2 linked regions of the Canis lupus familiaris genome follow. The protein of the gene in region 1 purifies or fractionates together with the protein of each later gene. This does not show direct contact. Links are inferred from orthologs where the notes say so. Each region holds a gene or a part of one and is shown on either strand. Other genes may lie near its edges.

Region 1 (3,734 bases):
AGTCTCTCAGAGAAGTTGTTTTGTTTTTTATTTTATTTTTTCTGAGACACGACTCATATCCTCTGAGTCATGGGTGGAGGAGGGAGTGGGGGGCGTGTGTGTATATTGGGGGGGGGGTGCAGTGTGGCTAGCCAGTCATCACCAGCTGGCTTCGGGTGGGCCCGCAGGCTGAGGGAGTCCCAGGCTGCCCTGAGCAGAGGTAGGTGGTTCGGTCCCTCCCCATCCTGGTGGGGCACTGGGCATCCGGTGAGCAGTGGTAGGGATGTTTTTCAACTTAGTGGATCTTTTTCTCTGACCATCTAGAAAACTACCACAACTCCAGGGAGGAAACCGAGGGGCAGACCCAAAAAACTGGTAGGTGAAGGGATGGCGGCGGTTTCTTACTTCCTGGGAGGGTGTTTAAGAATGGGTGACAGATTAGTCCTGCGTGCTCTGCCTGGGAAGATGGCTTTGCCCAACCTGAGCCAGGAATCCTAGTGGGACATCATCATTCTTTCTACCCAGGCCTGGAGAGGGAGAGGATGTGCGTGTGGCCGAGGGTCCTGGCACCCAGCCCACGGCTTTTAAAGGGCTGTGTCCCTGAGAAGTGAAGGGTCCTGGGGACAAACCAGACTCTGACCCCTGCCCTGCCCTGGTGGGTTGGGGCTACTTCTCTTTCCTCTACTCCTAGAACAGACTCCATTTCTAGGGGGAACTTGGAGGTCATCTAGTCTCCCACCCCCGGGCCCCATTATAGAAATGAGGAAAGAAGACTATGAGCATAGGGTGAGGTCTGTCCTCCCCACGCTCTTGGGTAGCGAAGGAAGCAGCAGCAAAGGAGCTCAGCCCTGGGGCAGGTGGGTAGTGCTCTGTGGGAGCAGAGAGGTGATCCCACTCAGCACCTCAACTGGGACCATCCGATTCTGAGCCCCCCCCCCCCCCCCCCCCCGCCCCCAACACCTGTTAATGAAAGAAGGTAGGCGGAGTCCAGGAGGCTGCTTCTAGGGCCTATACTGAAGTTAAGGCCACCCCAGCCTGCTCTTTCTGGCCTTTTCCTACCTACCCCACCCCCCAATCTGATCTCAAGGCCTTCATTCCTCGAGCTGAGCCACCACCAGGGTGAGGAGGGGAGTTAGGGGGTGCTGGCCCGGCCCCAGGAGTGAGTAACAGGAAACAAGTTGTTTTGGAGTTTGTGCCTGGCACGGGGGCCGCAGGCCCATGTGGTGTCCCGACATTCCCGCCCAGTGAGTGAGCCCCGGCGGCACACACTTCCCCTTCCTCCCCGCCCTGGCCCGGGGTCAGTCCATGGCCCATCAGCTGCCTCTGCGGGCCAAGGCCACCTGGTTCCCCGGCACTGCACCCAGCACACCCCGCAGCCGCCCCTTCCCGCTTCCTCTTTCTGGCCACCTCTCCCTTCTCTTCCTACAGAGAGCCACTCACTTCCTCAGGCTGCAGCTCAGTGCCACACGGGGCTCTGCGGGTCCTGCCATGTCCACCACAGGCCCGGGGGCCAAGGGGGCCTGGCCTGGTGCAAGAGCAGCATGTGTGTGGGGTTTTTTTTTTCCCTCCCTCTAAATTCTTCCTTTTTTATGAATGAAACTGGGCCGTGGAGGTTGCTGAGTCACTCACACACTCAGCCTTGACTCATCCCCCTTCTGGAGAGCCAGGGAGCCCGGGGAGGGGTGGGAGCGATCCTGGCCTGTGCCTGCCCCTCCCACTGACTGCCCTGTCCACCTCACAGGAGAAGGAGGAAGAAGAGGGCATCTCGCAGGAGTCCTCCGAAGAGGAGCAGTGACCGCGCCGTGCCGCCCGCTCCTTCACCGAGGGGCAGTTTCCTTCTGGGACTGGACAGCTCCGCTCCGCTCCCACCGCCCCTGCCCCTTCCCCCAGACCCACGCCTCCCCGCCACCCCCCTGCGCCTTCACCACCACACTACACAGCACACCAGCCGCTGCGGGGCCCCAAGGCCCGAGTGGGGAGCCGTCTCCTTTGGTCTTGGTTTCCAGTGACCCCTCCACCCACACGCACACTTGCCCTTCCAGACAAGGCTGACTTCCCACTGCACCGTATGCCCTGCCCCTGCCGCATCCTCCTGCTCAGTGGTGGGGACATCGCTGACCGGGCTCTTGGCTTTGGGGGGGGAATCCCTTCTGCTTCCCCTTTCTTCCTCTGGCTACCCACTAAGGGGCCTGGGAGGGCTCCCCTGGCCTTAAAAGGGGCCCAAGCGCCCATCTCATTCTGATCTGCCCCACTCCACAGCACTGGCAGCAGCAGGTATGGCCGGTAGGGAGGGGCACTCGGCCCCAAGACGCCCCCCGACTGACCTGTGTTTCATTAGGTGCGGTTCACACCCACTTCTCTTCCTTCCCACTTTGCCTGGTCCCTGCTCTGGGTCAGACAGCCCCCTTTGGGCACAGGAAGGAAGGCAGGAGGGGTTTGAGCCCCCCCTACTCTAAATGGGCTCCAGCCCACCTTCCTTCCTGGAATCTGTTGCAGTGAGGGAAATGCATTCCCCCCCTTTATCCAGGTGAGGCTCAGGAGGTCCACGGTCCCTGTGGCAGCCACCTGAGGTGGGCTAGAGCGCCTGCCCAACCCCATGCGCTTCCCCCTCGGCCTCAGTATCCCCTTTCCTTACATGGGGCACTGATAACAAGGAGCTAGCCTTGCCCACTCCCACCCTTCTGCTCCTCCCCACCCCCCAAGGTTCTGGTTCCATCTTTTCCTCTGTTCACAAACTACCTCTGGACAGTTGTGTTGTTTTTGTTCAATGTTTCCATTCTTAGACATCTGTCATTGCTGCTGTGACCAGCGCCAAATGTTCATCCTCATTGCCTCCTCCTGTCCTGCCCACATCCCCTCCTCCGAGACTCTTAGGGGAAGGGCCCCAGGGCAGAGCAGGCTGGGTTACCGATTACCCCAGTCCCAGGGAAGGTGGGGCTCTGCCCCTAGGATGCTGCAGCAGAGTGAGGGGGGGGGCCTGTATAGACCGTCAAGGGTGTAGGGGCCACCTTCTCCCCCTGTTCTGCTGGGGAGGAGGTAGTCATTATTTGTCCCAGCCTGGGGCCCCCCCATCTGGTTTCCTATTTGCAGTTACTTGAATAAAAAAAATATCCTTTTCTGGACTGGAGTCTTCCTCTGGTGGGCACCTGGGGTAGTTGTGAAAGGTGTGTGGAAGCCAAAGATCTAGTTGAGGGGGTGGCTTACCCAAGGGCTCTGTTCAGCTCAGGAGAGGGGAAGAGAAGTATTAGCTCCAGGGAAGGTAATTTAAGCCTTTCTTGGGAAAAAAAAAAAAAATACCCCTAGCCACAAAACATTTTATTTACAAAATATATATACTGAATACTATACATTAGGCCCTGTCACCGTGGAAACTCGTTCAAAGCCAGGTGGTGCCCATGAGACGGTGGGTGGTTGGCTGCACCCTGTCACACAGGGCTGAGGGCCCTGTGGAGGGTGGGGGAGTGAGGTGCTGCTGGGGATGGGTGGAAAGAGGAGACAGTTCCCAGCAGGGGGAGCTGGGTGAGTGCTAGCGGAGAGGGAGGCAGCAGACTGCAGGCCCAGGGCACGCCCCAGATCCTATGGTTCTGGAGAGCTGGGAGGGGTCTGGTTAGGTCTTGACATCCAGTAAGGGCATCCGCTTGTGCTGGTAGCCACTCTGCCAGCCATGGACCACCTGTGGGGAGAGATGGGGCCATGGGGTGGAGTTCCTGGGCCTCAGCACAACCATGGGGATACCCCACTAGCCCGGCCCACGT
Region 2 (4,403 bases), on another chromosome or scaffold:
GCTGTTGGGTGTTTGGTAGATGGATTTTTGCGTTATTTCACAGTTACATCTCACATGCACAACCTACTCTTGCACTTATTCTATGTTCATAACCGTGCTTCCATTTGGGCACACGGTTATTTTCCTCTGTGGCTTCCCGCCGCATGTAATCCTGACATTGAATTGGTCGGGAATACAGCTGAGCAACTGGACGATGATTTAGGAAAAGGTGGGAAAATTATGGCTTAAATCACCAGACCAAGACTTGAGTCATTAAAAAGTCTGAGCTAATTAAAAAAAATCATACATATAATATATAATATTATGTTAATATATTAAATTTACTATTAACATAATATTATATTAATATATGATAATATATTACAATATTATAATACTAAATATACATATATAAAAGAAACACGGTGTCCTTAGGGTTTTAGACTCAACAGTTCGTAGGTGACCCGGGGTCTGACTCTCAGCATGGAACCCCAGTTCGCATGAGTGATGTTCGCATCCTACCACTGCACAGTTGCATCCTATAACTAACTATATAACTGCGTCCTGCTAAATAAATTCGGCCCAATCTTGACTTCCTCGACAGACGAGAGCCAAAGGGGGAGGAGACTGTGCCCTAAAACCCGACACGTCCCCGATTCCTCCCGGTGCGACAAGGTTTTCCTCCAAGATCACCTAATGATCATCGAAAAGGGTTTTCGTTTTCCAGAAGCATTAGCAGGAGGCGAGGGAACCACAGCGGTCCTTGAGCAAGGATTCTCTTTCATCTTCCCTGCACGCCGACACGCGCGCTGCCAGGGTCCGGGCTCGGCGTCTGCCCCGGGCCCAGGTGCGGGGCGCCCCTGCAGCCCGGGTCTCTAACCCGGTGCGCCGCCCCCGCCCCCGCCCCCGGCCCCACCCCGGCCCCGGCCCCGGCCCCGCGCTCCCCGCCCGGCCCGGCCCGGCGCGCGGGGAAAAGAGCGCGGCAGTTGCAACCGTTACCACCCCCGAGTTTTGAACTGGTTCAAACTTGGCTTTCGGCCCCGCCCCGCCTCTCGGGCCCGGGAACTCCGAGGCGGCGGTTCCCGCCAAGCGCCGCGAGCGCGCCGTCCCGCCCTCCGGCCGGTTCCCGCCACCCCGCCCTCCCCGCCCGGGCCCGGCGCTGCGCAGGCCCCCGCGTCCCCGCCCGCCCGCCCGCCCGCCTTCCCGCCTTCCCGCCTTCCCGCGAGGCGCCGTGCGTTCCGCCAAAGAACAAAGAAACGGCGCGGCGCTTCCACTCGGCGGCCGCGTCCCTCAGCGCCCGCCCGCGCCCGCGCCCGCGCCCGCGCGCACGCGCCGCCCGCCCGGCCCGGCCGAGTCCCGCGGGCGCCTCTGCGTGGGGCTGGCGCGGCGCCTCCGAGCCCGGCGGGCCCTGTGATTGGACGGGAGCCCGCCGCGGCCCGCCAATCGGGGCGGCGCTTAGTTGGACAGGGGGGGCCAAATAAAAGCGCTGGCGATTGGGCTGCCGGGTTTGGCGCTCGGTCCGGGAGCGCCCGACACCCGCTGGGACGCAGAAGGCGGTGGGGCCCCGGCGGCGGCGGCGGCGGCGGCGGGAGCGGCGGGAGCGGGAGCGGGAGCGGGAGCGGCGCGGGCTGGGCGCGGGGCGCAGGTAACGCGCCGCTGTCGGGCCGGCCGGCGGCGGGGCCCTGGAGCCCGGCGGGGGGCGGCGGCGGCGCCGGGACATCCCCAACGCCGCGCTGCCCGTGCGGGTGTCGCCCCGAGCGGGGTGTCGCGGGCGCCGGCGCGGCGGGCGGGGGGCGCGGGGATGCCGCGGGGCGGGGGCGGGAGCGGGGGCGGGGCGGGGGCCGGGCGGGGGCCGCGGGCGCCCGAGGCGGGGGGCGGGGGCGGGGGGGGCGTGCGGAGGGGTCGTCCGCGGGCGCCGGGCTGGCTGGGCTGGGGGCGCCCGCCGTCCGCCGTCCGGGCGCGCGGGCTCCTTTGTGTGGAGCGCCGCGGCGGGGCGCCCGGGCGGGACGGGGCGCGGGGCGCACACAAGTTGGTGGGACCGCGCCGCCGGGCGCGCACGCAGACAAAGGGCGGCCGGCGTCTCGGGGCAGCCCCGCGGGCCTGACAGCGGGCGGGGGCGGCGCGGGGAGCCCGGCGGCGGGCGCTCGGCCCCTCGCCTCTCGCCCCGCGCCCCCTCCCGCGCCCCGCGCCCCCTCCCCGCGCCCCGCGCCCCGCGCCCCCTCCCCGCGCGCGGGCCCGGCGAGCGGAGCCGGGGCTGGGGCGGCCGCGCGGACGAGGCGGTGCCGGGCCGCCCTTCTCCTAAGTTTGCGGGCAGGGCAGGGCCGGGCAGGGCCGGGCAGGGCCGGGCCGTCCGCCCCGTCTCGGCTTCCTGGGCCTGCGGGGTCCCCTCTCGCCCTCCCTCCCCTCCCCCGTCTCCTCGTCCCCACGGAGTCCGTGCCGCGGGGTCCCTTTCGGGAAACGGGACGAGCCGAGGAGCGTGCTCTTTTCGGAAAACTTGGGTGAACTCGGCGCGTCTCGGGGAGTTCCCACTTTGCAAAGAATCGCCGTCCCCAAGAGAGAAAAGCAGCCGCGGGCCGCCCTGGCCAACCGGTGGGGTGCGTCGGAGGGGGCGGCAGGTGCCGAGGAAACCCGCTGCCCCGCAGGCGGCCGGCCCCAGGCCCCGCGGCGGGACGGCGGCGAGCACCCTGCGGGCGGGCGGAGGGGCGGGCGGGCGCGGGACCGACGCGCGTCTGGAGGCTGACGAGCTCCTTCCCACGGACGGGTCTTAACTTCCCCCGAACAATAGGTTTGGGGAGGCAGGAAAGCCTGGACGCAGACAGCGTGTGTCGCCTAAGAAACCCAACGTGTGCTGCCCGCAGTCAAGCTAAACTTCCTTTGTTTGCAGCACAGGACCCGTAAAACTTAAAAGATCCGTGTGGAAATAACAACCCGGCTCTGGAATTGAAAAGTATTCCACACGGTTTGCTTTCTTGGTTCCGGAGCTCAGCGGTTGCATTCTTTGGCGTTTGAAAATTACCTAAAGCAACCTTTGGGGAAGAAGAAGAAAAAAAAAATCTTAAAAAAAAAAAAAAGTCCAGTGCTCGTACGGTTGAATTATGATCTGTACTTCTCTGGGGCTTTGGAGGTGGTTTTTCATCACTCTTCTTTCCGTGAGCATTAGCAACTCTTTTTCATATTTAGGAATAAAGTGGACAGGTGTTCAGAGCCTGACCACTTTATTGATGATCTTATATGCAGGAAGACGAAAATGGTTGAGATGTATCTTGATGTTCTTTTCGTAGGGTCTAAGTTGGGGCTAGATGGGATTCTAGTCCTATGTGTAAAGATTCCTGTATGTGTTTTTGTAGACCGATCAGGATACGGGATGTTTAAACTCTTGGAAACTTAGGAAAATTGCATCTTCCTTTCTGATTTTTGTGGAAACCGAACATATTCAAAGAAAAGGAATTTAGAGACCCACAGGCACTCTTCTTTATTTGCGTTCTGATAAAGAGCTAATGTGCACCTACTGTCTTCTGGTTGCATAAAAATGGAGACAAAAGAAACGCAGTGTGAAAGTCTTTATTACGAATATTTTGCAGAGACTGTTGGACACCGTTGAACGGACGTCCCAGGTGCTGCCTCAGGGTTGAGATGCTTAAATGATGTTTAGATTTAGTTGCTGATAATTATCTATTAAAAAGTCCTGATAGTTCTTGCCCACTGTTAGGAGATGAGTTATGCAGATCTTGGCAGAAATTTGGATCTTTTAGGATAAATTCTAGTTTTTCCCTTGTGTATTCTGTAATTGATAATTACTGTCCTTATACGTGCCACAAAAATTTTTTAAAAAGCCTTTTTGGGGCTTTGGCTTAGATTTTTTTTTTTTTTCTGGTTGAATTGTGAGTATATACAAGTCACTTTTAAGTAGCAGTGATTAAAAAAAAACACTTGTTGATTTAGGGCAAAATAAAAGTTCTGAGACATTTATGATAGACATAAAGAGAGAGAGACAGAGACAGAGAGGCAGAGACACAGGAGGAGGGAGAAGCAGGCTCCATGCTGGGAGCCTGACGACAGACTGGATCTGGGGACTCCAGGACCGAGCCCTGGGCCAAAGGCAGGCGCTAAACCGCTGAGCCACCCAGGGATCCCCAGTTCTGAGACTTTTATGCCAGCTTTGGCTATTTAAAAATTTTAAGCAGATTTCTCCAAGTCCTAGTGACGTTTTTCTAGATTATCTGCCATCCCTTGAGCTGGCATGCTCAAGGAGTGTGAATTTCTGTATTGGCCTAAATAGTGATTAAGAAAGTTGATCTGCTTCTTAGAAACTGACAAATGAAGTTCTTCTAGCGTCTAATGTATTCTAAGGTCAATTAGAAATGATACACGGATTTGCCTTGGATTCTTTATGTCCCTACAAACGATGAAAACATTTTCTGTGC

Evidence for each region.
Region 2: the proteins of HMGA1 (region 1) and EZH2 purify together in Homo sapiens (affinity purification with mass spectrometry; 3 studies listed by BioGRID and IntAct, with this or other methods). This does not show direct contact. The link is inferred for Canis lupus familiaris from reciprocal best matches to the Homo sapiens genes HMGA1 and EZH2.

The regions. Positions count from the first base shown.
Region 1 is NC_049233.1:3,713,824-3,717,557, forward strand, and holds the end of HMGA1 (high mobility group protein HMG-I/HMG-Y), read left to right. Parts: intron 1-303; coding exon 304-354; intron 355-1,720; coding exon 1,721-1,774; 3' UTR 1,775-3,057; downstream 3,058-3,734. Other genes in the region: SMIM29 (small integral membrane protein 29), read right to left, coding at 3,587-3,652. UniProt on the Homo sapiens protein: HMG-I/Y bind preferentially to the minor groove of A+T rich regions in double-stranded DNA. It is suggested that these proteins could function in nucleosome phasing and in the 3'-end processing of mRNA transcripts.
Region 2 is NC_049237.1:1,579,595-1,583,997, forward strand, and holds the start of EZH2 (histone-lysine N-methyltransferase EZH2), read left to right. Parts: upstream 1-1,569; 5' UTR 1,570-1,624; intron 1,625-4,403. UniProt on the Homo sapiens protein: Polycomb group (PcG) protein. Catalytic subunit of the PRC2/EED-EZH2 complex, which methylates 'Lys-9' (H3K9me) and 'Lys-27' (H3K27me) of histone H3, leading to transcriptional repression of the affected target gene.